Drosophila melanogaster: one gene and its partner. The protein of the gene in region 2 binds, or shares a complex with, the protein of the main gene of each other region. Each region holds a gene or a part of one and is shown on either strand. Other genes may lie near its edges. The genes, in order: Cam and trp. A codon is read from its position in the direction of its gene.

What was found.
Region 1: the proteins of trp (region 2) and Cam are in contact, whole or in part, in a crystal structure (PDB 7CQV), measured with the Drosophila melanogaster proteins. Residues at the interface, in NP_476768.1 of Drosophila melanogaster: Gly804 (codon at 2,352), Lys805 (codon at 2,349), Met807 (codon at 2,343), Glu808 (codon at 2,340), Arg809 (codon at 2,337), Ile811 (codon at 2,331), Leu812 (codon at 2,328), Asp814 (codon at 2,322), Phe815 (codon at 2,319), Gln816 (codon at 2,316), Ile817 (codon at 2,313), Val820 (codon at 2,304), Glu821 (codon at 2,301), Lys824 (codon at 2,292); in NP_001246276.1 of Drosophila melanogaster: Glu12, Ala16, Leu19, Phe20, Lys22, Leu33, Val36, Met37, Ser39, Leu40, Gln42, Glu48, Asp51, Met52, Glu55, Val56, Ile64, Phe69, Met72, Met73, Lys76.

Annotation. Positions count from the first base shown.
Region 1 is NT_033778.4:12,253,376-12,268,766, reverse strand, and holds the start of Cam (calmodulin), read right to left. Parts: upstream 9,370-15,391; 5' UTR 9,309-9,369; intron 8,736-9,308; exon of another isoform or gene 8,728-8,735; 5' UTR 8,582-8,727; coding exon 8,579-8,581; intron 8,492-8,578; exon of another isoform or gene 7,954-8,491; intron 4,224-7,953; exon of another isoform or gene 4,095-4,223; coding exon of another isoform or gene 4,092-4,094; intron 4,025-4,091; coding exon 3,850-4,024; intron 1-3,849. Other genes in the region: Vha36-2 (vacuolar H[+] ATPase 36kD subunit 2), read right to left, coding at 10,216-10,812, 10,888-11,412; CG13168 (uncharacterized protein), read right to left, coding at 13,160-13,493, 13,546-13,695, 13,752-14,346, 14,403-14,406. UniProt on the Drosophila melanogaster protein: Calmodulin mediates the control of a large number of enzymes, ion channels and other proteins by Ca(2+). Among the enzymes to be stimulated by the calmodulin-Ca(2+) complex are a number of protein kinases and phosphatases.
Region 2 is NT_033777.3:29,913,837-29,929,632, forward strand, and holds trp (transient receptor potential), read right to left. Parts: upstream 6,454-15,796; 5' UTR 6,228-6,453; coding exon 6,079-6,227; intron 6,021-6,078; coding exon 5,783-6,020; intron 5,722-5,782; coding exon 5,579-5,721; intron 5,192-5,578; coding exon 4,990-5,191; coding exon of another isoform or gene 4,981-4,989; exon of another isoform or gene 4,970-4,980; intron 4,896-4,969; coding exon 4,719-4,895; intron 4,552-4,718; coding exon 4,317-4,551; intron 4,262-4,316; coding exon 3,963-4,261; intron 3,906-3,962; coding exon 3,538-3,905; intron 3,477-3,537; coding exon 3,119-3,476; intron 2,804-3,118; coding exon 2,584-2,803; intron 2,373-2,583; coding exon 2,207-2,372; intron 2,152-2,206; coding exon 1,991-2,151; intron 1,932-1,990; coding exon 1,777-1,931; intron 1,717-1,776; coding exon 760-1,716; 3' UTR 685-759; downstream 1-684. Other genes in the region: Capa (capability), read right to left, coding at 358-421; Jon99Ciii (jonah 99Ciii), read left to right, coding at 8,406-9,203; Jon99Cii (jonah 99Cii), read right to left, coding at 9,954-10,751; Jon99Ci (jonah 99Ci), read right to left, coding at 11,463-12,018, 12,076-12,338; CG15522 (uncharacterized protein), read left to right, coding at 14,159-14,285, 14,345-14,739; alpha-Man-Ic (alpha-Mannosidase class I c), read right to left, coding at 14,967-15,796. UniProt on the Drosophila melanogaster protein: A light-sensitive calcium channel that is required for inositide-mediated Ca(2+) entry in the retina during phospholipase C (PLC)-mediated phototransduction.

The DNA of each region.
Region 1 (15,391 bases), on a different chromosome or scaffold from region 2:
TGTGTGTGTGGACCACCCACCTTGCGGAGTGCGAGAGATAAGTCCGCCTAATCCCATTTCGGTTGAAACACTCTCTTTTCTATATCTATTATCTCTTTATATCCGGCTGCTTCATCGCAGATGCAGCTCAAAAAAAAGCAGCCAAGTGGAATGAAAATTTGTAAAAGAATTTGGCCAAATACATTTTCTTTAGGTTATCATCCCCGTAAGTGAAACGCAAATGAAGTGGTCCAACCGAAATTCTTGTTATATTAATTGAAAAAGTTTCCTTCGTTCGTTTTAAGTTGAGAGAATAGTTCTGGTTTTTTTTTTGGGGCCGCAGCAGCGCCATAAAGGCAGCAGCAACAACTTTTGGCCTTAATTGTTATTGACTGACTTTTTCGAGCCATTCCCAGCAGAAAGAAGAAGAAGCGTCTTTTGTCCATAAAATGAAAGTGTATAAAATGCTTTTCAGTTTTCTGTTTTTGCTACCCTCAAAACCAAATGGAGCGTGGTTCATTGTGGGCCATCATTTTGTTTCTTGTGAACTGAATGTGTTTTTTATTACTTTGCTGGAAATGGGTTTTCTCCAGAGGAAACTTTTCGTATATGATTGCCAAACAAAAAAAAAAAAAAAAGCAAAGTCAGAGGTTCACAAGCCCTTTTGAACTTCAATAGCAAATGATCTCCTCCTTGGGGCAATCTAGATTTACTGACAAAGAGTTTGGCCAAATAAAATGGAATGAACTGAATGTAGCTACACAAATAGCCCGTTAAACATATAATGGAAACAAAAATAAATAGTTTGAATCTTCAAGTATTTGGTTTATAAAAAAGTAAACAGTAATTCGCCGAATTAATTGATTTAAAATAAATAAATACTTCTCGAGCACACGAATTCAAATGAATTGAAAAAATCTGGAGGCAATTCCCATTTCAAAATAATGTGTGCATTGAATTCGAAAATTTGACGAAAGAAAAAACATTACACTTTGGGCTAATTTAGATATTATAATTATTCAAATATGGCCGCATTGAGTAGCAAAAATATATTTTGAAAATAGCCAAAGGAACATCAAATACAATATCGACCGGTGGCTTTAGTTCATTTCGATTTCGGTATTGGTTTTTTCTTCACTTTTATTTTTTTTCTTTTTCTGTTGCTTGTTGTCTTGCCTGCGTTTTTGTGTTTATGATTCTATTTAAAACATTTGACGCGATTTTCTGTTGCTTTTGGCTTTGTCGATAGGATTTCCCCAGCCAAAAAAATAGAAAATCAGAAAACAAATACCAAGGAAAGCCTCCGCACACACACACATATATAGACATACACAGCCATTGGCAAATTTGTTGCCATTTTTGTTAGACGCTTCTTAGACTGGCCCGAAACGCCTTTGACGAACCCGCGCGCAGCCCAATTACCATAATTATGATGCTCATCGCGCTGCCAATGGCGATAATGATGACGACGACGATGAGATGATGATGATGATGGCCAGTGTCTGGCGCGGATTTCGGTTTCCATTACGCCGTTCCGCCCATTCCCTCTCTCCTCCTCCTTTCCCTGCTCATCAACACTCCCACTTGCCGATTCGCAACGTTGAGCGCAAAATTTTGCAGACAATTTAAAATTGTAATAAGTTTTGTCTTTTTTTTTTGGTTGGCGCACACAGTGTGTGCAAGGCAAAGGCATCGGCTAAATTTAGTTTGCGCGCATTTTCCATTGGTCTCATCAAAAATAGTCGACTTTTATTCAGATCGACATTATAAGCAAACCATAAAAAAAGATTATTCCGCTAAAAGCGTAACTGCGACTTTTTGGCAAGCGCAATTTAAAGAAAACCACCTTTGGAGTTCACCTATGATGGCCATATAATATAATTATACTTCTATAACGCTATTTTTATTCCGCTGGACAATCCTTCCTACCTGCCCACCAATCCCACCGCCAACTAATTGCACTCGTTTGCATGCAGTTCACAGACCAAAAAAAAAAAAAATAAAAGGCAGCCAGGCAGTTTTGGCCATCGTCAACTGGCTGCGACGAGACGCCAGCGAAATTTTAAGTAATGAATGTTTAATGTTTCCGTCAGATTCCTGACTGCCTGCCTGGCTGGCTGTTGTGACCAGCGTGAGTGGGCCATGTGAGTGGGTGATTCGGATGGCCACAAAATACATTCCATTGTGTGGGATCGTAAATTAGAGGAGTCAGCTGGGAGCAGGCGGCAGTGGGTGGTGGGCAGTGGGAAGTGCCACTTTCGAGTTGCAACAATTTTCGCAAGTAATTTTAAATATTAAACGTTGCACAATAAAGTTGGCAAAAACATTTTGCTTGCACTCAATGTAAAAAGTTTGGCACATATGCAAATTCCAGCAAAATAAAGTTGGCGAAAAATGCTGGACTCCCAAGTGGCGACCCCTTGCCACCCACCCACATACCGAACTACTATTTTTAGTCCTGATAAACAGTTAGTATGCGCATCGCCACCCCCTCGTTTGTCCAAACCCCACATCACCCACTTGTCCATGATTGCAACACTTTAGCTCCAGCAAAAAAAAAAAAAAAAAAGAGAAAAATCATGCAGGGGTTTTTCACAGCGCCTGCGCTCAAAATTCTGTGTGCAGGACTCCGAGTTTGCAGATTGTGTCCTGGATATTTTCGACAACATGCGCACAGAATTTCCACGTGCAAGCGCAACAGCAGCAGCAGCAGCAACAACAGGCAGCCGAGAAAAGCTGGCAAAGAAAATGGAGCAGCAGCGAGAAAACAAATACAAATTGGGCGGGGACACTTGCAAAACTTATGAAAGAACAAGTGATGATGAGCATAAAAGTTACTTTGTGCCAGCCACTGAGTTCTTATGATTTAGTTGCTAAGTATTATCCTTAGCAAAAGCAGCAAAGCACAAACCTGCTTACTTAATTGGAAAATCTATTTATTTGTGGCAAAAGGTGAAAAACCCCTTTACGATTCAAATTTTCGCATTTTGCCACATTTTTGGCGCGAGGCGTGTGTCGCTCGATTTCCTCTTGCATCGAAAATAAAATTGGATCTTCCTCGTTTCCCCAAGAAAGTTTGTTAAACTAAAACTTGTACGAGATTTCGAGCTAAGCGAACAACCACCTTTGCTCAAAAATAAACATTAAAAAAAAAAAATGAAATACCAACGAAAAAAAATCTGACAGCAGCGGCTGCCAAAGACAAGACACGGGAAAGAGCCAAAATATTTTAGTCATCTATTTTTAATGCCTATGACGTGTTTTTGTTGCATATTTTTAGCCAAGAAGTGATTTTCCTTTTCTTTTTTTTTTTCCACCCATTGTTTGTCGTACAAATGTTGGTCTGATCTATGTCTGTCTGCGAAAGAGGTAGTTGGGGAATGGAACGAGTGCGAGGGATTAGGCCCAGAACACCAAATAGATTGGGGTAAACAAAATTAGACATCTCGGGATCGGGTTAGAAGGGGTTCTAGCCAGCTCTCATATATAGCCAGCATAGCATAGAAAATCAGCTCATTTGCACATTGGTCGTAAGCTCTGACGAAGTCTGACTTCATAGTCTAGATGTTGTGGGTCACAGAAAATTAAGGCAAATTCACAATTTGTTTGAAATACTGAAGTTACGAGGCATACAAAACCAGATTATTTACGATTTTTGAACCCTTTAGCTAACATTTGCAGATTAGTATGCATTTTGCAATCTCTTTCGCGAATTCGTAAGTTTTAAATGCTCAGAGGGCATGAGAAATGTGAATCTGACTTGAAATTTATTACATCACCCCAATGAAGGATTTCAATCACGTACATTACCCCCACAAAAGGCTATCCCACTTTATAGAGTATTTCCCCCCACAATCCTCCACAACTTACCGTCGGCATCAACCTCGTTGATCATGTCCTGCAGCTCGGCCTCTGTGGGATTCTGGCCCAGGGAGCGCATAACTGTGCCCAACTCCTTTGTTGTGATGGTGCCATCGCCGTCTTTGTCGAATAGCGAGAATGCCTCTTTGAACTCGGCGATCTGTTCCTCTGTCAGCTGATCGGCCTGCAAAGGGACAAATGAATAGAGCATTAATTGAATGAAACGCAGCAAAAATGAATCGAACACACACCATTATGATAAACGTTGTGTAACTTTCGACTTTATATTCTTAACAAAATAAATTTTACTGATAGATATAGGACTAAACGTCGACCTGGTTTGTTTTGTGAATTACTTTTCAACGGCATCTCGATGGAATTTCAATGTCAACACAAAAAACTACCCAAGTGAACACAATCGGGAATAACAAAAGACGAGAAGGGAGAGAACAATTGTGTTTAATTTGAATAATTTTGCGTATTGTTTGCCCGCCCGTCGCCAGGCAAGTCCAGATACAATTGTATCTGTATCTAGGTATGTTTATAATATTTCTACATATATATATATATATCTGGTGTCTTGAAAAAGGTGTTAAGTTTCCGCTGAATCAACAAAACCTGACGTCAGCGGCGACTGAATAATCAAGAAAGACCCCGTAGGGGGGAAGCTCCAAAGAACCGAGGAGTGGAGATGGCTGCGTTACCCAAAACCAAAATTTATTATTGTCATGCGAATGATGCACATACATATATACATACATATATGTGACAAGAGACGTGCGAGTTGTCAGTTTCACAGGAGCCGGTCGGTCATTCTGGCCAAAAACGATTCTCAGGGTCTAATGTTGCAGCACCAAAAGCAAAAAAGCGGGCACATTAAATTCCCGTCTACCTATTACTGTTACTGTTATTGTTTTACGGCCGAAAATGATTGTTTATTTGTGCAACTCGCTCTACGGCGATAAGCCAAAGAATTTAACGAGTATAATATAAGGCCTGCGGTTTGAATTGCGATAATTGTTATTAATCATGAAGCAAAAATGCAAAAGCAAACTTCGCCTGCGTCATAGGATGACTTATACTATATATTTATATATATTTGTTCAAGCTGATAACTGCTGAAAGCTCTGCTATATGGAAACTATACTAAACTATATATATAGAGTTGTTTGTTGAGCGATCCTATGTAATAACAACTTAATTTGCTTCGTTTAATAATAGCTACTGCCAATCTAGTCTATACTTATTACTCTGAACTGTTGAAAACCAAGTTAATTTATGTGAATTTCCCTAGCACGAACCAATTCGCCCTATCTAATCAATCGCCTTGGTTACCACCGAATTGGGCACCTCAACTTGAAGGCCAAAAGATACCCCAAATCTGAAAAATGGCACAACAAACTTGGCTCTCAGACATGTCGTGTTGACCAGCCTTTATGGACAACTTCCGTTCGGCAAGGAAAATGGAACAGAACAGAAACCCACTCGCTTTAAGCCAAATCAGCAATTGGCATTGGAATTATAGCGCCCTGCTTGACCTTATCTAATCGGGGGAATTTCGGTGAGTTTAAACAGCGAATACAAGCAAATTTGGTAACGGCAACGCGTTGGTGGCACCTGTTTTATTTGCACTTTTTGTCGCGTTGGCGTTCAATTGAATTTGCCCAGCTTATCTTGGCGTACTCTGGGGCAGATAAAACGCTTTTCAACTGGGTTATGTCATTGGCAAGCATGACTAAGCCAGAAACAGAAACCGAATGAGAAACACCCATCGAAATGCAGATCCCCAATCTGTTGAAAAGCAAATTGAAGCCCTCCTGTCTTCAAATGGCGACATTTGCAATCAACAACATGAGCAAAACCCCACCCACCGATGATATCCATTAATGGCAGTCAATCGGGCGAGGTCGTTAATCGAGTGGGGGGCTGGCTAATGCCTAATTGGTAATCCATTTGTATGCACAATCAGACGCCCACGACGTCCCGAGGAAGCTTCCACATCCAAGGCAAATACAGTGCCTTCCGAAAATGTATGCCTGGGGGATCAGGACTCAAGCTGTGCGTATATTTATCGGGATTTGTCCGTCATTTTTTAAGGTAGTGACTCATTGGATGGGTCATTGTATAGTAGTTAGTTCAAGATCATCACTTTTCACTTGCAAATAATATGATATCAAATATTATTCATACTTATGAATACATTTTGATAACAATAATTTTAATACACTTGGGCTTGAATCATTTATAAATTCACAAACGAGTTCTGCTGAATAAAACTATTTCTTCCAATGAGTTTGACAGTTAAATACAACATTAAAACAGGTCTTGGCTGAAATTATGCGGCTTTATGTTAAAGCCAAGTTTGCCGGGTTTACCGTTGTATAGCCGACGCTTTTTTTTTTTTGCCGGTCTCAACCGGTTTCATGGAGTTTAGTTTGGTTTTATGAATGACGGTTAGATTGAGAGCTTGGTTTTTGGGTACAATTTAAGTGCATTCGCACCGGGATCCAAACAACTGTGCTAACTGAGCCATAAGCCAGTCATTTGCCATTATTAACATGACACACACACATATCATCGGGCATTCATCATAGGCCATATGATCATATGATGAAGTCAGCCCAGGAACACAGTGACTCATGGAAATTTATATGAATGTTGGCTCATTTTCAACGGAAACAAATAAGATATACAGACAAACGTATCTCATAATTAGCCGAGCTAAAGATCAACAAACTTTGAAGATCAGTCAGTAAAACCCTTGGCAAATGTTTGCTTCTGGGCCAAGTTAGCAGCGTTGGTTGAATCACTGAAACAAATTGGCCACGTAGAAAGCGATGCGATATATTTTAATTAAAAGCTGTTTGCATTCTGCGTGAGCTGTAAAATCGCTAATTAAATTAGGCGACACCAGATGAGGCTGAAAGAAGGTGTGGCGCGGGTGTGGGCATCGCAGTGGGCGTGGGGCTTTCTTATCAAAAAGCGCAGAGGAAAGCAAACGAACGAGAGAAGAAAGCGCAAAGAGGGCGGCAAGAAAATTGGATTATGTGGTTAAGCGGCGGCGTCTAGCAGGAATTTTTCTTCATTTGCAGCGCTCCTCCTCCCCCATCGTTCGCCTGTGCCGTTACAATAAAATTCTTGCGCGAAAAGGCAAAGTGGAACAGGCAGCCGCCAACACACACACCCATACGCTCACTCACACGCACACGAATACGAATACGCGGAGCCGAACGAATGAACGACCGAAGCGGACGAACCAAGGCGAAGGCGAAACAGCAAAATAACCGCAATGCGGCAAATGAAACGGTTATGGAAGAAAACAAGAAAAGGCAGGCGCCGATAAAAGTGACAAGCGCAAGGCGCAAAAAAAAATGAAATGCTGAAAGAAACGGAAAGAGAGAGACGCAGCACAAAACGGAACTGATAACGCAAACGAAATAATTGCACATAGAGAGAGACGAGAAAGTGTGTGAAACGGTTATGCGAGAGAGCGTCGAAACGGTTAAGCTGAGCGCAAGAGCAGGAGAAATGCCTCTAAAGAATTTTTTCACCATTTCCATGGGGCCGTGTCTAACCTCAATTTTTGCGGCCAAGTGTGCGGTAAATAAAAAATACAACCAGAAAGCAAAGAACAAGCGAACAACGAACGGCGGGGCAAAGAGGAGAGGCCAATAATGCCGGGACCGGCGACTTTGTTGTTCATCATCAATATATATTCACACATTTTCCACTGATAAGCAAAATGGAGGGCGCTTTTCTATTATTTGCGGGGATCTTTGAAAAATTGCTGATAAAAGTGCCGATGGCAACGCGTCTATGTAGGAATGCGAGTGTGTGTGTGCATAAATGCTCAACAAATTGGCTAAAATCACATTGATTTATGATCCCAAATGGTGGTGGTGGGTTGGGCAAGCAGGGGGGCTTCGAAAATGAGGTGTTGCTCGAGATGCTGATAAGAGTTTCCACTTTTCCACGCCTGATTGGGTTTCCAGGGGTATTTCTACCCGAACGTCATGGAATTATTATAGGGCGAACCCGATCGCGTCAACATTCCGTGTGCGACAGCCTTGATAAAATAAATAATAATTTTGACGAGTGACGTGACATGTGTGTAAATTCTTGCTATTGGCATTGCTATTTAATTGTGCTGCTTGTTTTCTGTGACCCTAGGGGCCAAAGTTGAACATTTGATTAAGTCAGGTTAAGAACATGAAAATCTTGCAGCTTAAATATACTAGTTTAAGTATAAACTTAATTTCAAATGATTGCATTCACTTTTTCTCAATGCAGTTTTATGGATTTTGATTATGTTTCATTGTGAAAGGGGTATAAACTACCATATTTTCAAGGGGTTGCATGGTGTTCGCAATTTCTTGTTTCTAAATCAACGATATTGGGTTGTTGAAAAAACTGGTTTTTTCTACCCGTGAGGCGATATATTTTTGGGGTGCAAAATGTAAACGAATTTCCCGGGGACAGCTGCTTTTCGACGGGGTGTTTGGTGTGCTGGGATGTGTGTAGCGAGTGTGTGTGTGTGAAAAGCCGTTAAAACCATATAAACAACGTCTAATTGGAAGCGATTCGCTCCTCCCGCTCGCACTAATGGCAATAGCCCTGGGGGTCGCTGTCTGACTTTGATTTTTCGCAAAAACTGTGGAAATTTCAATGGAAAATGATGGCCGCAGGTTGTGTAAACAGAAAATAAAGATGCACATGTTCTCCAGCCCCATAAACTTACCATTTTTGTAGGTGTTTTTTTTTTCTGTTTGTTGCTAGAGTGACGAAGTTTTAATCCGCTGCGGCTACTGCTGCTGCTTGGGTGTTGGTATGTGTGTGAGTGGAATTACGGAACGCGCGGTTAACTTTATATTTTACTAAATTAACACACTGCAAAAGAAGCAAGAAGAGGTTTGTTGGGTATTACTTTCGGGGGGTCAACTGGAGGTGGAAGAGGCTGAGGAGAAAAACTACTGCCAGCTTGGAGAGAAAGAAAAGCGTCCGTCCAAAGCACCGACGCCGACGCTTTTTTTTCTCGCCGTGGCAGTTTCTGAAATTTCTTTAGTGTTGTTGCTTCAGCCGAATTTAATACAAATTTTCGCCTTGCGTTTCTTCTTTATTTTTTTGTGGCTTTCATTCGTTTTTTTTTTCATCTATTGTGCGAAATATGCCAAACACACGCGCGCACACGGCAGAATTCTCGTTTATATAGTAGATATATGGCGGGGAGAGCTAATACATATAAGAGTTGCTCGAATTCGGTTTTTATAAAGATATTTGTTTAATTTTTTGCTCGTTGGTTTTCTTGATTTTTGGCTGGCGCTGAGAAATTGGCTTTTCCGCGAAACGTTCGCAGCTCCTGGTGCTTGGGTGTGGGCTCTTTTCGCTTTTTTTGTATTTTTTTTTTTTTTTTGTTGGCCCAATACTGCTCTCTATATGCAATGTCTGGTCTGTTTGTTCTGACAACTCACGATCCTAATCTGAATTTCCGTCCGCAACGGTCGACGACTCAAAACTTTGTGTTCAAAATAGCGCTGCGTCGCCATATATACGGTTTTATTTTGCCAGCAGCAATAGCAATAACCGCTCTCGCTCTCGCGAGAACGAACCGGGTAAGTTCGCTTTTGCAGCGGCAGCGTCTGCATGTGTTTGTTTCTGTTGCTTATCCACTCACCTTCGTAAAGCGAAAATAAGTTTGATTTCGCCGTTGTAACGGTCGCGCCGGCGCTTTTCGCGAAAATAGGTGTGTACAAAAATTGTATCAACATACTACAGGTAACTAAAGTTATAAATAATAGGAAGCTAGCTTCTGCAAAAATAAACTTATGCATAGGTTTGCCCTTGCAGTAATAGAAAAAAATGAATCAACTATGTATGTACTCACATATGTACATCTATATAAACAAATGTCTTTTTTATTGTCCGTTTATTCTAATTACCGGTTGTGATTTATGTTTATGTAAACAGTTCTTCGATTTTTAAGTTCAAATTTTAATTGACAAAAATATACTTCAAAATGTTGCAAATTTTATTCTTAACGGATAAATGTTAACGTAAATGTTAAACTAACATTCGATGTTAAAAAAAAACGAACTGTAAAGTCAGCTGTTGCAAACATATAGCATTTGCCATTGCATATGATGGGGAATTAACATACACACATACACATGTATATTATACAGCAGACAGAAATTACATACGTATACGTTATTAATAACAATGACGGTAAATTTTTCCATATATTTTTCGATTTTCGACTGAAATTGCTATACTTTTTCGAAGTGATCACCTAAAATAAATCTTCTATTTGCACACCATATTAAAAATAATTAAGAATTTTTGGACAACTTTAGATTTTGGATTTGTGAGTCCGATTAACTAACTTTCTTCGGGTGGATCTTCATTTACGACATCTTTCGACATCTGGCTGGATCTGCGCTGAGTTTCCTGGCTATTACGCGGAGGAGTATCGGACTTCCTTTCGGTCACATTACTGGCGGACTTCCTTTCCGGTCCGGAGGAGAGGAGCATCCGCTTGGTGCTGTACAGATCACCACTGCTGGCTCGCGGATCCCGCTGGCGACCAGCGAAACTCAACGAGGCTCCGTGGGTGGTGATGAAGGATGTGGGCGGTGGGGGCTCGCCCCGCTTGATGGCCTCCTTTCTCTCCTGCTCGCGGCGCTGCTTTAGGGACAGACGGGCCTCCCGCATGCGCCGCTTCACCTCACGCTCCTCGAACTGCTCCTGATCGAAGGGTGTGTCGGCCGCTGGAGGACGCGTCTGATTTATGTTTCGCTTTATGTAGGTCTCCAGCTCCTCGTCGGTCATGTTCTTGGTCTTGATCAGCTCGGTGAAGGCCATCTTGGCCTCCAGCTGCTTCGCCTGGGAGCGTTTCAGGCGATAGAAATCCTCGCGCTCGAACTCCTCCAACTCGCCGCATATATAGTTATAGGTATTTTGCAGGATGGGTATTACCTTGCGGATACAAAGTGATATTTATTGAAGATTATCCATGATAACATATGGATCATATGAATTAATTATAATTACCACATGCTCCAGAGCATTGACCCTCATGTTGGTCTGCAACGAGGCTGCCTCCAGCATTCGCACTTGGTATTCCAGAGAGGCGAACTCCACCAGTGCCTTGAGTGCCTTCGTATAGGAGTCCCTGATTCGGCTCACTTGCATACCGCCACAGCTGAGACCAGCCAGCGGAAAAGCGCCCACGCCCTTCGTCTCCAGCTCCAGGGTGTTCAGCTTGACGCCCACAATTTTGATCTCCGTGCGGCGTAGCGATACGGTTGCCACGTGGCTGCGGCTTACCATCTGCGGCTTGAAATCGGCGCCCAGAAGATTGGCCTTTGCCATCGAGAATATGGCATTGCGCATCGCCTCATCGCCGTGCATGTCCTGGTCGAAGCGGATGCGACGCAATTCGCGTAGCTTCATATCGATGGCGTCCCGCTTCCGCTTGAGGAGACCCACGCCCCTTCTAGCCGCCAAAACGCGCTGCTTCATGATCACCGAATTGGCGCGGGATGGAAAGATGGGCAGGATATCGCGTTTGGCCATGGCGGTGACTTTGGAATTGGACTCTGATCACGTAGAGTTTGAATTTGGCCGAATTGTAGACTTTGTTACAAACGAATTACTGATGTGAGTATAAAAACATATGTATATTTTTAAAACCACGCTTATAAGAGGTTTTCAAATGCTTATGGAATAAATATGAAAATTGTGGAAGAGTGCTATGAATTAGCTGGGATTTTATGACTCAATCGGCAAAAAGTCAACAAATTTACTCCCTTGAATTCTTTTCGAGCTTATCAAAACTTTCAATTTGTATAGTGAATGCAGTGGTGTATATTATAAATATTTTGTATGAATAAGAAATTTTAGTGCTTGCCAAAATAAGAATTAGAAATGAATAGTTATTTTAGGCTGTAATTATACTAATTAAACTATTTATCAATCAGTTAAATGAATTGTTAACCCTATAATTGAAAAAAAAAATACCAAACAAATTCCTGATCCGCCAAAATCATTTTAAATTACTCATACGCATAGTTGCCTATGGAAAATTACGCATACGCAACGTTGCCTTATCTATGCCTGATATTTAAAACAGCATTTTTATTTAGCTCTCGAAAATGATGTTTTAATTTACATTAGCTTAATCCCTAGAAAATGGAATCATTCACATATAATACATTTGTTATTTGTGCTAAAGATAATGTCCACAAATCGGCAAACCAGCGAATGCGTGTGTGTGTGCAATTACAATGCGGAACGTTTGACCATTCCACTGGGATTTCACATTGCCCATTGGACAGTTGGCCACTGGACACCATTGGACGGCGATTTTGCCCATTTTCCAGCTGCCGTACGATTTCCTTTGCCGCAGCGAATTGTCGCAATGTGGCGCCGCTTGGTGCAACGCAGCCTTGGCGCATTTGCAACGCATGCCAACAAGTTAAGTATGTTAACCTCTGGAAAATTAGACATGCCACAAGGGTTGGTGGTGCGGTGTGAGCTGGGCGTTGGGCGGTGGGTGGTGGGTGATGGTGTGGCAATAGCGATGGCTAGGTAACGAAAACGAGAATGAAAATGAAGTAACAATGCAGCAAACATCGGGCCAAAAGAGCGTTTGTAGTTGTCGTTGTCGTAGTCGTTGTCGCTTGGCGACGACAGCAATGCGCCATTTTTCGTTCGCCCCGCAAGACATGAAAATTTGGCTTTTCCCTCCATCGCTGTATGTGTGTGTGTGTGTGTGTGTGTGCGTGTTGGGTAAACATTCTGCCAGGCGTTTTCATTCTCTCTTGGATTTTCGCAATCGCAGGGAAGCCACACATTTCGCCCTCTGACCCCATAGAAAAAACCGCGTTGACAATGTCTTAGGCGAAATTTATCGCAGTTCAATAGAAAAATATTTAATAAAATTGGTTAGCCTTGCTGAATAAAGGAAATAATCATTTCTTTACTCTAGAATATATAAGAAATTCCAGAAAATTTCTGTGTGTTGTCAAGTGCCAAGTAAACACGATTTAATTGCGAGTAAACATTTGCCTTTTCTCTTATGGAAATATTAATTTGCATACATGGGTACTTATGCATGCTTAGTGATTTTCATGCCACAAAAGCTTGCAAACAACAAATGAGCTCAAGCAAACATAACTTTTTAGCATGTGACAGTTTTAAAAAATAATGAGAAAACAGGATACATATATACACGTTAGTAGTAGTAGAAGGTTGGAATATATTCGTATTTCTACATATAAATTGTACAATGTAGAAATATACAGAGATCCGGTTTGGGACACTACTTTCCCTTCTTGCCCTTGCCCTTTCCCTGGCGCTTCCTCTTGCGCTGATCCTTCTTCCACTTGCGCCAGTATTTTTGAATCTTGCCCGCCGCCCGGTTCATCATGAAGATGACCAGCTTCTCCTGCTGCACGCGACGTTCCTCCTCCTCTCGCTTGACCACGATGTTCTTGTAGATGCGCTCCTCCTGCCTGTACTGGACCATAAAATCGTCGAGGACCTTCTTGGCAGCCAGATACTGATCCTCCGCCACCAAATTCTCACGCATCTTTTCGCCCAGGCTGGTATCGTACTTCTTAAGCATACTCTGCAGTTGCAGGAGCAATTTGTTTCTATAAAGGATTGAGAGCACTTAAATAATAAATTACTCGATTTGTAGCTTACTTTTCGCTTCGCAGCTCGTGCTCTTCGGCCAGATGCTTCTTGGTCATCTTCTCGTAGCTCTCCCGGGCATTCTGCAGCTCCTCCTCCAATTCCTTCTGCCTGTCCATGCTGCTCTTGTGGTAGCTTCGCATCGTGCGATGGCACTTTTCACTGTAATTTGTAAATATATTCAAATAAGAATTTCTAGAACTAGAAATCCGAGTTACATTTCGTTCTGAATGGCCACGTTGTTCTGCCACTTCTTATTGGCCAGATCCTCCTCGACCTTCATCAGATAGATGCCCTTGGCGGCCGTCTTCCATTTGCCAATCACCTTCTGGAAGGCCAGGCTCGCCTTCAGTTCCTTGATTTTCTTCTTGATGTCCACATTCTGATGAAAGATGGCATGGAGCTTTCGCTCCTTGGTAATCTCGCTACGCGAGGATCGGTGCAGATGGACGTGGGCGCTCTCCAGGAGAAAGTGAAAGGCGGCCAGCAATTGGCGATCCCTTTCGTTTAGGTTCTTCTTCAAGTGCGGAAAGAATCGATGAATGCTATGGTTGACCAGGAAGAAGTCCACGATTCGCATGGTGGTGTGGTCATGTGGCAGCTTGGAACGTCCACTCTGCTTGCCAAGGTGGCGGATCATGTCATCGATGGGCTCGAGAACCTCCTCATAGCAGGTGTCCTTCAGGACGCTCTTCAACTTCTCGGGATTCTCCAGCAGCTTCGGTATGATCATCGCTATCTTGATGCGCTCCTGGGACATCTTGAGCACACGTTCCACTCCTTCCAGTCTCACCTGACGTTCGGCGGTGGTATCTGGAAGGAAAAAGGATATGACTGGTTTTGTCTTAAAACATTCATTTTATACTAACCCATTTTTACTTAGCAGCTTTACGGATCCTGGCGCATATATAAAATCCTCATTGAAAGATTTTCGTTTACACAGACATTAATAACTTTACAAAATTTCCTTTTTGCGATATAATTGTGTGCCGGGTTCTTTTAAAATGTATTAATTTAAACGACTCTCGGATACAACAGGAATTTTCTATTTATTATTAACGAAATCACGAAGTTAAAGCAGATAGGTGCAATTAATCTGCCGCAACCTGGAAAGTGAAGCTTTTTTTTCCATTAAATGTTCTTGAGCGTATTTCACTTGTTTGAATATTCTTAACTTCTATGCTTCTTTTGTTTTTTCTATAATTTATGTTTTTCCGATTTTCTGGCTATGCTTGTGTCGAGGTCTTTTTGAATTCTGAGCCGAGTTTGTTATTGTTTTTGGGGATAAACAAACATGGCTTGCTATGTTGACCGTGTTGCCTGGTTGCAAAGCCAAAGAATATATACCAAATAGAAACCCTTTCGATCAAGGAGCAACTGAAGAAGGGGGCGTGGCGAGGGGCGGTAAATTTGAATGGCACTTTCATGGCAATGACTGGTAGAAACTTTTGCCAAGTGCAGTAGTCGACAATGAAGAGTGTGGGGCGGTTTTCTAGGGGGCGGTGGGCGCTCGCCTTCGGTGGGTGGCTTGTTGCTTGTGTGTGGCCATGTCGCATTATGTCAACTGACGTGGCATGAATGAAAGCTGCTGCAGCAAAGCAAACGAGGGAAAATGCGCTGCAGAGGGGCTTGCTGGGAAAAAAGAAAACCATAAGAGCATGAAACGAACTTGTGAATGCAGAACAATGTTGGTGGGTGGGGTTGGTGGTGGTGGTGAAATGTTCCTCACTCAGGTGGAAAATCTACCTAATGAAACTGGCATGAAAGGGGGAGCCACAGAGTGAATGTAATCTGGGAGCCCTTCGCTGCAATCTGCCAAAAATCGGATTCACTAGTACAGTGGAGTCTCAGCACATCC
Region 2 (15,796 bases):
AGCGGTTAGATTTGAAATCACCTTTTTGATTTAAAGAGCTTGATATAAAAAGACACTGTGTACGACTTAAATTGCATGCCTCTTCAAGAAGTGCTTTAAGTGTTAAAAAAAAAGTTAATAAAATAATAATAAACAACTTTTCTAAGTAGAACATTTTAATGAAAAATTGGAAAGGTCTTTTTACCATTACCTCTTTCTTTTAAAGGTGCTGCAAAATATTATTGAACATTATTAAAAAGCATTTAACTATTTTCACTTTAAAGTTAACAAAAGATAGCAGCAGCACTTAGTCGAGATAGACTAGTTTGTTGTTTAAGATTTCCTTAAAAGCGATTTTGTAATGTTTCCACCACTCACCAGCTGTACTGAATTCGGCGATTATGAAAATCACTAGAACTATGTGGACCAACATAGATTTCATATTTGCAAGACTATTTAGGACGAAACACTGGCTTGGCGAATATGTTTTTCGGTCTGATGTTATCCTCGGAACGGTCACGGTTCTTCTGATTCCTCTGGTCGAAGTTCACGTTCTTTTATAGGCCAGAAAAGCAGGCGGATGGATGGCAGACAAACAAATTGCCATCGGAACAACGGGGCGGATGATGAATGTTGCTGCGATGCAAATGAGATGTTGCTGGCAACAGGTGGCCTTTAGCAACAAGTTGCAGAAACGTGGTACTTGAGATTCTTTTTTTTTATTATTCACACAAACAAAGGACTTAACTATTTAATTGCTATGAAAGTGGATTCCGCGGCTTAGAGCCAGCCGGAGATCATGCGTCCTGTGACCGTGGATTTGCCTCGTTCTCCGCCAGCTGCGGCACTGCTCTGACCCACCTTGATCGCCGGCTTCAGAGGAGCTGCTGCTGGCTTCTTGTCCTTGTCATCGGCAGGCTTCTTGTCCTTATCATCGCTCGGCTTCTTGTCCTTGTCGTCACCCGGCTTCTTGTCCTTATCGTCTCCCGGCTTCTTGTCCTTGTCATCGGCTGGCTTCTTATCATTATTGTCAGCAGGTTTCTTGTCTTTGTCGTCGCCAGGTTTCTTGTCCTTATCGTCGCCGGGTTTCTTATCCTTGTCCTTGGCATCGTCTCCTGGCTTGGAGTCTCCTGCAGCCTTTTTTGGCTCCTCCGGACCGCTCTTCTTTTCGTCCGGCTTGGAGGCCCCATTGGTTGCCTTAGTTGCTTCTGGTGCTCCAGCTGCTCCAGGTTTCAGTTTGGAATCCGGCTTGGCATCCGAAGGAGCGGAGGGAGCTGCGCTCTTGGCTGCTCCATTTGTGGCTGCCGGCTTGCTAGCTTCGGTCTTGGAAGACTCCTCCTTTTTGGCAGCGGCCTCGGGCTTGGCGGATTCTCCAGGCTTCGGCGCAGCAGGCTTGGTGTCTCCAGGTTTGGTTGGTGGTGCCGGAGCGTCCTTCTTTTGTGACTCACCGGGCTTGCTGATAGTGCCAGCTGCTTGGGGCTTTGGAGCTCCCGCACCCGGAGTTGGCTTCTGATCCCCGGGCTTGGGACCACCTGCTGACGGCTTGGAGTCCTTGGGAGGCTGCTGCTTATCCTTATCATCACCTGCTTTCTTGTCATCCGTTGGCTTGCCCATCGTGCCGGGCTTGCCATCGGCTCCGGATTTTTCATCCACATTCTTAACCGATGCTCTTAGAGCAGCTGCAGCCAACATAGAAGCTCCTCCTCCAGTTCCACCACTAGTTATGGACTTTTTAGACTGCAAGTGAGATTATATATTAGCCAGGGAATACATATACATATATTGATTGGAACGTACCCCAGAGGCATCCAGTGGCTTCTTTTCGCCTTCGCCATTTGGAGCACCCTCGTCATCGGCCAAGGAAACCTCGTCGGCAGCCATCTTCTTCCGCATGAACTTGACATAAGCCACTCTTGTGGCACGCGTCACATCACCCAAGTTGGGATTGAATTCTGGAGGAGATCAAGGGTATGGAAATATACATACATTGGGCACATCTTTATTAATTTACCAATCAACTGGGTCTGGTTCATCTGAAGACCCTCATTCGCCTGCTCGATGATCTTCCTCCTCAAGCTTCGCTGGCTATGACGTTGCATGGAGGAGCGCTTGGAGCCAATGGGATCGGAGGCGAAAGTATTCTTCCTCGCAATGGCGTTCCAATCCTTGTCTCTGTTGAGAATAATAACCATTATTCAAAGCGTCTTACAGATTTAAGTGGACCTACCCCTTCTGGGTCTTCTTTCTGCCGATGACCTTGGCCAGCGATGAGAATATATCTCGTCCGCTCTCAGATTCGCTCATTTCCTGCTTCAGATTCTCGACGAAGCCGATTTGGAAGTCCTTAAGGATGCGACGTTCCATCACCTTGCCCTTGGTGGTTCGAGCAACTCCTTCAAAAGTAAGTTTAGTGAATAAAATCCATTAAAATCCATTCTAGCTTTGTAGTCTTCTAGCACAACATATTTCAAATTAATATTCAAGATGGGGTGAACTTTATTAGGTATTCAAAAGCTAATTGTAAATAATTATTCATATATACTGCTACTTCTATCTTAAGACACGTGTAAGTTGCCAATTTGGATGTGGGTAGGCTTCCCTTACCCTGCGACTTCTTCTCAATGTCGGGTACATCCCAGTTATTGTTGGTGAAAATCTCCAGCAACTCGAACCGCAAGGAGCTGATGTCCTGGCGCACCTCAATGATATCATCCTCGGTAATGCCGTAATCGTCCCGCCGCCTCTGCTCCGCCGTAATGTACCTCCTGACCAGCAGCTTCATCACTTTGTCATGCAGCGTCTGTGCCCGTTCCATGGACTTTCGCTGGGAGTTGGAACAGGGAGCATTAGAGGGTGGAAGGACACAGAAAGGATGTATTAGACGTCAATTTGACGCACAGATAGCTCTGCATGGGCTTGATTGAAAATGATTTCGCTTAAGATTTGTATTGATTGTGAGCCGCCTCTCACTGTGAGGTGATTCAACTTGAAAAAATCGAACTTTCGAAATGTTACTTACATTTAAAAGTAATATGATAAGAAATATCATTTAAAAGTAGAGTACACTGAATTTAATATATATGTGTGGATTTGTATAATACTTAAACTGAAATATTGAATTTCTCTGAGTGTAACTTACCATGAAGCTCTTGGTTCGTGACGGTCGCTTTCGGCCCAGGGTCTTCCTCAACATCTTCATGTTGGGACAGAGGTTGAAGGGCGGTGGAATGGTGCCGCCATCCTCGAAGTAGCTCATCCACAGCTGGGATCGGGCGAACTTCCACTCAGTGTCGGCTCGCTCCGAGATGATTTGGTAGGAGTTGGACATCATGGCAATCAGCATGTTGAGAAGCACAATGATGTTGATAACCGAATAGGAGCCGAACATTAGCAGTGCCCAGAAGCGGGTGAAGCTCTTGATTCCCGCCAGATCGAAGGAGACCAGGTCCACCAGGCCAAAAGAGGCCCAAAAGAGCGATTGTGATGTTTCGAATAAGCTAAAGTAAATTGAAATGGGATGCCAATATGATAAAGTACATAGAAATGAATGTAATATACTTGGAAAATCTTCGCCAGATGGTACAAGCCTTCTCCTGGTCATCAAAGTCAGCCACATCGGGATGCAGGTGATAGCACTTGTTCTTCTCCAGCTCAGCGTAGTACCATAGCAACTGGTTGAGACCACATCCGAAGGCAAACAACACCAGTGTGTAGATGAAGAAGAACTTGATGATGTCGATTATCATGCGACCCAGTGAAACTTGCAAGGGTCCCAGGTGGGGATTAATGGAGAAGATGTGGACGAGCTTTAGATAGGAGAAGACCATTCCGGCAGCAAAGGCGCCCTCTGATAGAAGCATTGGATCAAACGGATGCCAGTGTTCCCTTGGGAAGTAAGGATCTATGCCCCGGAACCAGAGATCACGCTGAAATCAATTCGTTTCAGTAACTCCAATTTATTCATTAGATTCATATGGACTCACATGGACGATTACCCAAGCGGTGGCCCTACAAAGAATCCACGTCACATAGAACATGTTCGATATGTAGTCCACTATGTTCCAAAGATCCATGATGTACTCAAACAAGCCGTCCGAATATAAAGATTTCAGTTCCTCAAATATTAGAGCCATTATGTAGGTAATGATTGCCAGTTCAATGGGACCCGGTAGTGAACCTCTCTCGTGTTTGCGCCAATCCTCCAGCATGGTCAGCATCCAGGGAAATGCGAGGAGTTCAAAGGTGATTTGCACCACCCTCAGGGAGGCAGCACCCAGGAGCACTGTGAATGGGCGCATATTTAGATGGATGAAGTGTTAAGCACCCACTTTACCCACTCAGGAAGAACATGTAGGAGCAGGAGTGCGTGATGAACTTGACAAAGGGCTTGCGCATGAACTTGGCACCCTCGGAATCCGGGGCCAGGATGTACTTCAAGCTGTAGATGGGGAAGCTGCATCCCAGCTTCACGACATCCATCAGCTGCTGGGAGGCCTGCTTGCGCCGGAAGCCCGGCAGTCCGTCGTACCAAATGGCGGCCAACAATTGTTGGACATTTGGATGTGCCACAAACTAGAAGGGGGAGTAATGTTTATAAATTCAAGCAGGGTACTAAGATCCGTTTCTATATATAAAGCTATTAAATCCCAGTTGGTCTGTGGTGGATTAGGCATGGGTATCTAGCCACAAGCTTGTAACCTTCACAGTTCCTTAATGTGCACGGATTAGTCCGAACCCACCGTTTTTTGCTTATAGCGAATGGCCAGCTTCAGTCGTTCCAGGGTTTGCCGCTGGCCAAGGCACCAGATGTCGTGGGACGGCTCGTGGTTGAAGTTGAGCATCACCTCGAGTTCCATGGATGTGCGTGCGTGATCCAGGAGCGAGGTCCCGAAGTCCTGCACCATCTGACGCATCTCCTGTTGGGCAAACACAAACAAAGGCTCGCATTCGCATTCGCATAGACTCTAGTGGCACACTGGCCACCGCTTACATTGCACACTACTACCGTACCGTGTATTCGGCACGAAACTCCGATTCCATCGCCTGCAGGCGCTTGAGTTCCCAGGACAATTGGAAGGCGGTCAGTACAGGGTCCCGGGAGCTGAGCGCTATCAGCGAGCTGGCGGACAGGGCGCGGTATGCGTTGATCCTCGACTGCGAGTGGCGCAGGGAGTCCGTCATCTGGGAGGTCACACACTCATCGCAGCCGCACCTAGAAACAATTGAGATTAAGCGATGATATACAAAGTGTACGGAACCCAAGAGTTCTATAATAATAAATACATTTAAATCAATCTGAAAGGAGTACAAAGGACCTTCTCTCCTAGCAAGGACATTTATGACGCTGTTAAAGGCTTGAGTCCATTGACCCAATTTAAGAACATTCAAGGACCTGCTCTTCCCACACACAACATTACACCCTGTATTAATATTTCACCCTAATTTGCCCGCAATTATCTAAAATTAGAGGCACCCAGCGATGTGCTACATAAGTGTGTTGCCAATTGGACAAACAATGGAACGTGCCGCTCGAAGGACGAGGAAGCTCACTACATAGCCATATCACCGAGCAACTGCATCCCTACACCACCCCACTCACTTGACGTCGTGCGGCATGGGCAGCGTGGCCCCGCGATCCAGGAGGATTTTGAGTATCTCGTAGTTATTTCGGTGGGCGGCCAGGATAAGGGGCGTGATGTCCACGGTGAAGGTGGACTTGGAGCGGTCCACCGCCTCCCAGCTCTGCCAAAGGAGGGGAAAAGAGTAAGAGTTGTGGCATATTCTGCGGCAGGATGTGACCTACGTATGGCTGGCCCTCCTTGTGGTTGGTCTCCTCCCACTGCAGCAGCTCCTCCACCGCCTCCACATACTCCTCCGAGATGGCGTGCAACAGGGCGTCGCCCACCTCGATGTTATGCTCCAGCAGGATCACCATCAGGTCGAAGTTCTCGTTCTCGATGGCCGAAATGAGGGCGGAGCGGTTCATGGGATCCGTGCAGTTAATGTTGAACTTGTCCGTGCCCTGGTACTCCTCGAGGATCCTTCAAGGACGAAATCATATTAGCCGAGTTACTCGAAGCCATAGGGAGGAAGCCTCACTTCTTGACACCTGGCAAGTCACCCCGCTCGCAGGACAATATGAAATTCTTCTCCACATCGCTGAGGATGTACTCCTCGGCCATCATCAGGTCGTAATCCAGGCGAGACCCCAACGCCTTCTCGGCATCGGATTCCGTATTGCTGCCCATATCTGCACTGATTTACTGGTCTATGCGAACGCGATTATCAGGATCGGATCACTCGGTCACTTCACATCTCACAAACACTATGGGCATTTATCCCTGCTCCTCGGGGAGCCTTGGCGTAATCCTTTCGCGCACTGTATCCTTTAGTGTTCCATCGTGGCGATGTTCCGCCTCCAATTAGCCGCGTTGCACTGCTGAAAAGTGGCAGCCACGGGTCGCTATATTCCACTAATTACATTAGTGCCCAATGTGGCTAAAACTCGGTCAATGTGTGGGCGAACCCCGAGTCAATGGGCCCATTTGACCGCACTTCGGTAATTGTGGGGCTGCATTTGGAGGCAGCAACCGATTTTAGCGATTTCAGTTCAGGAATCTTTCGTCCATTTGTGGTTGCATTGCACGTGATGAGCGACTTTCGATTTTCGAAGCCCCAGCAACGGAATCGCACCACTTTTATGCCTGAAAATCCAAATCAATACTGCCCAGTGGGTTTATATGTAAGTGAAAAACAAAACGTGCTAAATGGAACAATATTATCTGCTTATATTTCGATGAAATGATGCATACAGTTGAGATATGAAATTAAATAGGTGTCTAATATTTTGTACCCAGCAATATAGATCAATGCCCAAAAAAAAAATACGCACTTTGCATACTTTTTGACACCTATTCAAGCCGAAATTCAAAGCTACTTAATATTCAAAAAGTAGCATGAGGGTGTTAATTTGCGAGTAAATAGGGATTCATGGACTTGGGTTCATATCCTAGAACTATTCACCGAGAAAAGCCCTTAAAAATAGGAGAAAATGCAAGCTTTTAAGCTTTTGGCTAACCAACAGAGCCGGAAAACACACCACACCTGCAGTTTACAGTCGAGTATCTACCGAATTGAAATGATTTCGAATGCCTTTTGGGCACTGGGTCAGTGATTCTGACTTTGTGATTGATGAATATTGATTAATCTGCATGGGAAGTGGGAGGGGGAGGTGGGGTGGTGTACATCTAAGACCCAACTCGTCCTTGGCAGCCGAGCGTCTTGAGCCTTGAATGTTGAATGTTGCTTACTTCAGGGCGCTCGCAGGGCTTTTGTGTGTCAATGCACTTGGAACTAAATGCCAGCTCCTGGCTAAAGGCGGAGAAAAGGAAAAGGAACAAGCCCACTTTCACGGAGCAGCCCTTTGAGATGAATGTGTGTGTTCGAAAGGTGGGGTTCAATGGAGCTCCGGGCGGAATGGCATCGTACGTGTTCAAGTCGTACGGGGTTTTTAGCGGGGCCAATGCACTCCACACTCCACTCGCATGGCTTCCAAGAGAAGAGGAAGGAAGTGATGGTGGCCCAAGGAATTTCAAAATTAAAGTCACAGCTGTCGAGGGGAACTCATTAAGTGCGAATTAATTAGAGGCCATAGCTGAAAATACCTGGATGGCATTCTCGTAATTATATAAAGGTACTCCTCATTACACAAATGTGGCTAAATGCACATTCTTCTTATAAGTTCCCATTAACTAAATGCTATGTTGGGTTTATACATGATTTTCTGCAGTGTACAACTGGGTTGCACTCAATGATTCATTGGCCTCCAACAAAACTCCTGCCTTATTTAGCTTTTAAGGACCCTTGTGAGTTATGTGCTCAGTTCTCCACGAGAAAAGCGAAAGAGCTCATTTTCCCTGGGTTTGCGTAGCAGGTTGCACTTTCACTGTCTCCCCACCGGAAACCGTCAAGATTGCGGGATAAAATTCATTTTATGGCCATCTGTATTAAAATTATATCTCTAAGCCCTCAACATGATCGTAAAAATCTATAGTATCAATGCTGATTTGCTTTATGGCACCGATAAGATACTTATGTGTTTAAACAAATTGAATGTACCCACGTAGAAAATGATTTTATGAATTGCATCCGATGAGTAGTATTTAACATTAAATTTATTGTATTTTTAACTGATTCGCAAATCATTGAACACTGATAAGTTTACGTTTTTTATATTGCTGTACAAGCCTCTGCGTTGTTTATTTTTTGTCTTTTTGCTCCTATGTAATCTGGATGACATTAATTTACTGCCCTCCAGCTCAACATATGGGTAGTTTGACACTTGGTCAAGATAAGACAAGGGACTTCTTCTGTATATAAAGGCGCTTCGACATCGGAACACCATTGAGTTGCAAGACTTGACCAAGATGAAACTGTTCGTATTCCTGGCCTTGGCCGTGGCCGCAGCTACTGCTGTGCCCGCTCCCGCCCAGAAGCTGACCCCGACGCCCATCAAGGACATTCAGGGTCGCATCACCAACGGCTACCCAGCCTACGAGGGCAAGGTGCCTTACATCGTGGGTCTGCTCTTCAGCGGCAACGGAAACTGGTGGTGCGGTGGCTCGATCATCGGCAACACCTGGGTCCTGACCGCCGCTCACTGCACCAACGGAGCCAGTGGAGTGACCATCAACTACGGAGCCAGCATCCGCACCCAGCCCCAGTACACCCACTGGGTGGGCAGTGGCGACATCATCCAGCACCACCACTACAACAGCGGCAACCTGCACAACGACATCTCCCTGATCCGTACCCCGCACGTCGACTTCTGGAGCCTGGTCAACAAGGTTGAGCTGCCCAGCTACAACGACCGCTACCAGGACTACGCCGGATGGTGGGCCGTGGCCTCCGGATGGGGCGGCACCTACGATGGCAGCCCACTGCCCGACTGGCTCCAGTCCGTCGATGTCCAGATCATTTCCCAAAGTGATTGCAGCCGCACCTGGTCTCTCCACGACAACATGATCTGCATCAACACTGACGGAGGCAAGTCCACCTGCGGAGGCGACTCTGGTGGCCCCCTGGTTACACACGACGGCAACCGCCTGGTCGGAGTGACTTCCTTCGGATCCGCCGCTGGCTGCCAGTCTGGTGCTCCCGCCGTCTTCAGCCGCGTCACCGGATACCTGGACTGGATCCGCGACAACACCGGCATCTCCTACTAAGCAGTTGATGTTCCTTAATTCTGAGGGGTTTCTTCAATAAACGATTATAGCAAGCAACTCAAGTTCTGTTTTTGGGATGGGATTCAGATGTCTTCTTGCTTAAGTAATGAAATCAATAAAATATTTCCAAGTGAAGGGAAATATATTAAACTGCAAACGGAAATAAACTTATTCCGATTTCCGATTTATGTATCGGAAAAAATCAAGCTTTAGGAACACATAATGACGAACCATCGGACTATATGCAAATATATATATATGGATCATACGTCTTATTATTATGTATTATTATTATGTATTGTTTATAATTATTATGTATATTATGTATATAAAAAGCAAACTGGATTGAAAATGGTGTATGTAGAATATTGGACTTGTTATATTTGCAACATAATTAAAGTGCATAAACATAATATAAATTTATGTTATTATAAATAGCTGCAAGTGGACTTTCCTAGCTTAAACAGTTTTAAATATAGGAATACCCTATAGTCGCTACTAGCGTTCAACAGCTATCATATGGATAGAATATAAAAATAGGATATAAAAATAAGTTAAACAATCTCGTTTTAAAAACATTTAAGGAAAATATGAGATTACTTTTAGTTTTATAATATATGTACATTTAATGTACATAATAGAATATATAAATATTTAGCTCTCAATAATGTGCCCCTCAATCTACAACTGAATAAATAGTTTGGTCGAATTTTTCATTTTTGCTATAATCGTTTATTGAACATCAACTGCTTAGTAGGAGATGCCGGTGTTGTCGCGGATCCAGTCCAGGTATCCGGTGACGCGGCTGAAGACGGCGGGAGCACCAGACTGGCAGCCAGCGGCGGATCCGAAGGAGGTCACTCCGACCAGGCGGTTGCCGTCGTGTGTAACCAGGGGGCCACCAGAGTCGCCTCCGCAGGTGGACTTGCCTCCGTCAGTGTTGATGCAGATCATGTTGTCGTGGAGAGACCAGGTGCGGCTGCAATCACTTTGGGAAATGATCTGGACATCGACGGACTGGAGCCAGTCGGGCAGTGGGCTGCCATCGTAGGTGCCGCCCCATCCGGAGGCCACGGCCCACCATCCGGCGTAGTCCTGGTAGCGGTCGTTGTAGCTGGGCAGCTCAACCTTGTTGACCAGGCTCCAGAAGTCGACGTGCGGGGTACGGATCAGGGAGATGTCGTTGTGCAGGTTGCCGCTGTTGTAGTGGTGGTGCTGGATGATGTCGCCACTGCCCACCCAGTGGGTGTACTGGGGCTGGGTGCGGATGCTGGCTCCGTAGTTGATGGTCACTCCACTGGCTCCGTTGGTGCAGTGGGCGGCGGTCAGGACCCAGGTGTTGCCGATGATCGAGCCACCGCACCACCAGTTTCCGTTGCCGCTGAAGAGCAGACCCACGATGTAGGGCACCTTGCCCTCGTAGGCTGGGTAGCCGTTGGTGATGCGACCCTGAATGTCCTTGATGGGCGTCGGGGTCAGCTTCTGGGCGGGAGCGGGCACAGCAGTAGCTGCGGCCACGGCCAAGGCCAGGAATACGAACAGTTTCATCTTGGTCAAGTCTTGCAACTCAATGGTGTTCCGATGTCGAAGCGCCTTTATATACAGAAGTGGTCCGTAGTCTTATCTCGACCAAGAGCCCTTCCTTCCACACGTATGTAAAATGGGAGGGCAGTAAATTTTAATCAAGTTATCATCGCGAGCCATCGTCGACTGATAAGTCCACTACAGGTGATTTTTTTTTTTTGTAAATTATGGCCTAAATTTGAAGTGGAATGACATGTGCCTTATTTGCAACTTACTCTTCAGTATGATAGTATCATGTAAGGACATTCACTTCACCTAAAATATATTATATACTCAGATTACCCAAATGAGGAGTAAAGTATTTTATGATCTTTAAGAAATTTAAATTCTGAATAATGTTTATTGAAAGTATTTACTACCAATTTCAAAAAAAAGTGTGATAAAATATTACTCATACGGCACATTGTACAGTTTTTGTTCTCAACAAGTTGATTTTTAGATTATCAAAAAATAAAACACTAATAGGTTAATATTACATAGGTAATGTATTAAATGGTATGTATTATGTAATATGTAATGTATTGATTATGTATTATTGGTAATTTTATCTCTAAACATGAATATGCCACTATCTTCCAAGAAATTAATAATACACAAAATATAACAGCATATGTTCTTCATTTATTTAAAACTTGTTTAAGCACCTTTTTGCTTTGAAATTAGTAAAGTTTTTTTTTAATAATAGATTCCAGTCTCCTCCTTTATCCATTCCAGGTACTTGGTGACCCTAGTGAAGCCAGCCGGTCCTCCAACCTGGCATCCGTAAGCGGAGACGAAGGAAGTGATTCCGATAAGCTTATCACCCTCCTTTGTGACCAGAGGACCACCAGAATCACCCTGGCAGGTGGCCTTTCCGTCCGGAGTTTCCACACAGATGGTGTTCTCGGAGGCGGTATCAGTTCCGTAGTAAGCCTGGCACTCCGCCACGGAGATCACTTTCAGATCCACCACTCGCAGATCCTCCACCACATTGCTGCCATCGTAAATGGCACCCCATCCGGCGGCCTGAACCCAATTGTTTTCGTAAGAGTTGTATCGGTCATCCAGGCTGGGAAGCTCTATTTTGTTGACCAGGCTGTAGAAGTCCACATGGGGAGTCTTGATCAGGGCCAAATCATGATCGAGTCCAACGTAGTGGGGATATCTGATGAAGTTCTCGCTGCTCACTGTGTGGCGGAAGGCAGGTTCGTTGTAGTTGACGGCACCATAGTACAGTGAAGCCTCATCAGCACTGCAATACGATGATTTATCAAAGAGCGTTAATTATTTGTGAAATCAAATAACTCACCCAGCGGTACAGTGGGCAGCAGTGAGCACCCAAGTGTGTCCGATTATGGATCCGCCGCACCACCACCAGTTTCCGTTGCTGTTCAAGCTCACACCCACGATGTAGGGAACCTGACCCTCGGACGCCAGGTTTCCGTTGGTAATACGACCCTCAATCCCTCCATGACGAATCTCCAGATCGCGTGGATGGACCAGCGAATGGGGCACAGTTAGGGCACTACAGACCCCAAGGAAGGCGAGCGACAAGAGTGTAAGACCCCTCATATTGAAAGACTAAAAGGCTCCCATGGTGGTCCCAATACTATATAGCTTAGCCATAATCACTATCGATGCTAATTCAAAGTGCGAAATCTTATCTCGCAGCACTTTTATCAACGAAAAAGTTTGATTTATACTAGCAGATACTCAAGACGAGTGTTTGGCAGTATGAATGAAGTGTTAGCAAAGGGAATAAGAGTGTTTTGAGTGCTTCAATCAATTCTGAGTGGATACAAGTTCAAGCAATTTAATTCATTTAATTTTATTAAATCATAAAGAATTATTAACCATGGTTAATAGTAAATGCCAGTCTGCTCCCTGATCCAAAAAGGGCTGCCAATATGGGTACGCAAGCCTTCATTTTGTATACTAAAATCTCCTGTTGGTCTCACACTTTTATATAGACCAATGAAGTCACTATCGATGCACATATAGAAGTGTACAAGCTTATCGTGCAATAAATTATTTTAATTTATGCCACCCAATGGATTAACTTAGTAATAGAGTGCGTTATGGGATTATGTACTTCAAGTTCAGAAAAGCAAAAGTTTATAATCGTACCTCAAAATATATATTCAAATTGTATGCAATGGTTGAGTTTATGCATAAATTCCCAGTAATATATGTCACAGCACAACAAGTGAAAATGTGCAAGCAAGGTGTCATGGGGGGGACTTCAAAGAACCCCAAGGAACAGAAATGGCAATCGAGGGTCATGTGATATCCTTGAAGTATTGCAGGGAATAGTGAAGCAGAAAAGAAAATACGATTATGGCAATCAAAAGGGAGGTCCACTTTCGGAACTACGGAGCAGCAGTATCACTCAAAGTGAGGCGATGGCTTGAAATCCGATATAGTTTCTGAGGAACGCCTCGGGCGGAGTGGGCGAAATGGCGGACCCATTCCTCATTAGGAAGCTACTGGGAATGCCTTTGTTTGCATTCTCCGAGCTTCCCCTTGACCGTCCTTCCGCCGACGTAGTGCCACGCTGAAATGTGCAACATATCGGGGCAGGAAACTCACCACACGGAACGGAAAACGGAGAACGGAGAGCTATTAAAGCCGACCCCCAACGAAGCGTGAGTCAGTTCCCGACTGGGCGTCCGGGCATTCAGACCGCTCGCAAGGATAACGCGCAAGGATCCGAGCGAACGCGACGAGTAAATAAAGCATAAATAATACAATTAAAAGTTGAGCGCGCTCCCTTCGCAAAGGACATTCCCACACTTGTAGCCCACTTCCTTCGGGCAGTGCAACACAAAAGTGCAGTCATTAATTAATTTAATGCATATGTACCCCATCCTGGCAGCACAAGAGTCGAGCCAAGCCGACGATATCCTATAAAGCGAGTGAGTGAAAAGTGTTCGACGAAGCGTTTAAAGGACCGCGCTGTTTGCCGTGTGCGATGCCCATAACAACGGGCTTCGCGATTGCCTTTTAAGGTGGGGCGATTAAGTCACGCTCCTCCGTATCAGCGGCATCGCCAGAACAGGAACTCGGGGCATTGACACTGCGGTTTTAGTGCTCAAACTAAAAATGTGAAAGGAGAACATTAAATCCTGACATGACATACCAAGAGGTGTTATATCATTCCAAGTTCCGCGCTCTTAAATCCTTGAACATATCGAAGTAATTAAGAAACTTACAGCTGTAACTCACAGATACAGTTTCTAATGTTTAATTACAAATTCCATGCTTTAGGCACTAGATACCACCGATAGCACCATGTTCCCACCCAGTTCTGAAGGACACATCCGAGTGTCTCGACGTGACTAGGCCAAGCAGGCCCCACAGATTATAATCCCCAAGGGGACCAGGTCATCAGGATGCACCAGGTACTCAGCTACGAGACGGCGGTGCGGGCCAACAGCTCTCGGGAGTTCCGCGAGTACGTTTCCAAGCGCACCTGTGCCTCCCTGGTGCTAACGATTGGCTTCTTCATGCTGATAACAGGTGAGTGCATTCACAGGACAGCGCCTAATGAGTCACTCTTGTGTGTCGTGGTTTCGCAGGATACTTGCTCGGTAATTTTGTGGCCGAGCGCAAGTACCACATTCGCCAGATGACGAAAGACGGCGGCAGGTCCGTGAAACTGAGCAGCGCCGAGTATGCCAGCCTGCAGGAGCTGCAATCATATCAGAAGGCCAAGGATCAGCTGTTGCTGGCCGCCCAGGAGCTGGACAAGCTGCAGCAGCAGGACGAGAGCGAGCGGTATCTGGCCACGTCGCTGAACACGGAGATCTTCAACAGGTACATATCCTGCACGCAGGATATACCGCCCAACACGAACATTGCGGCCAGTCAGTTCACGGAACAGCTGATCGACAACACGGTGGCCAGGCAGCGCCACTGCTTGATGATCATCCAGCGGGTCATCGACAACCACCTGGCCAACAGCCAGCTCTAGAGCTCTAGGGCGGATGCCAGCGATGGTTTAGCGGGCCAATGTTCGACATTTGACATTTATGTGTGTATGTGCTTTTAGGTGTGCTCAATGTGTGTGCTCCCAGCTAATTAGAAATTAGGTTTTGTAATTCATTGTGAAAGTATTAGATCACACAAGTTTTTTATACATGTCTGCATTAAAAGTTAAACTTTAAATAGATGCTAACTATTTTGGTAATTGGCTAATGTTTAGTTCGATGAGTTATGCTGACGATACATTGGGTTCACGCCCTTAATGGGCAGGAAATGGCCTGCACTGTTGAAGACCCACTGCTCCAGCGAAACCACGTCGTCGTCGGAGAAGAGCAGATACAAATACTTCAGAGTGGAGCCCAAGAAGAAGGACCCCTGCACGTCATCCGGTTCCGAAGTAACGTTGTTAACGTCCATCACTCCAGTATATCCGTAGGGCATTCGGCAGTACTTCTCTATCGCCTGCACCATCTCCAATCCCCACAAGCGGTACTGTGGATGATGGGTTATGCGCCACAGAACCAAGTAAGTTTCCGCGACTTCCGGCCGTAAATTGTAATAGTTCCTCTGGAGCGGCTCTATTTCCTGCTGGCTTTCCTCCGTGAAGGCAAACGTATCCGGACCCAACCGAGTGGGAGAACTCCAGTAGCTGTCGTGACAAGTATCTGTGAGGCCTATGCCAATATGGGCATACTTTTCCCAGTGCTTCATTTGGGTTTCTGCTGCTCCCAGGACAAAAAGCCCGCCGGCAAAGCAATCGGAGTGCCTCATACGATGGAAAAGAGTGCCATTCCTGAACGTGGACACGTAGGTCACGTCCTCGGGATTGATGACAACCAGATTTTGAGCCACAGCTAGCATGGCTTCTTTGAAGGTATCAGCATTTTGAGTATCAGTTCTCCCGGACTGAATCCATGACTTTAGCAGGGTATCATAAAGTCGGTGCATGGAGCAGTTGTAATTTTCCCACTTACCAAATTTTGTGCAATAGGCATTGGGATAAAGGCCATTGGGCCTGGTTGTTTTAGCTAATATCTCGCGGATAG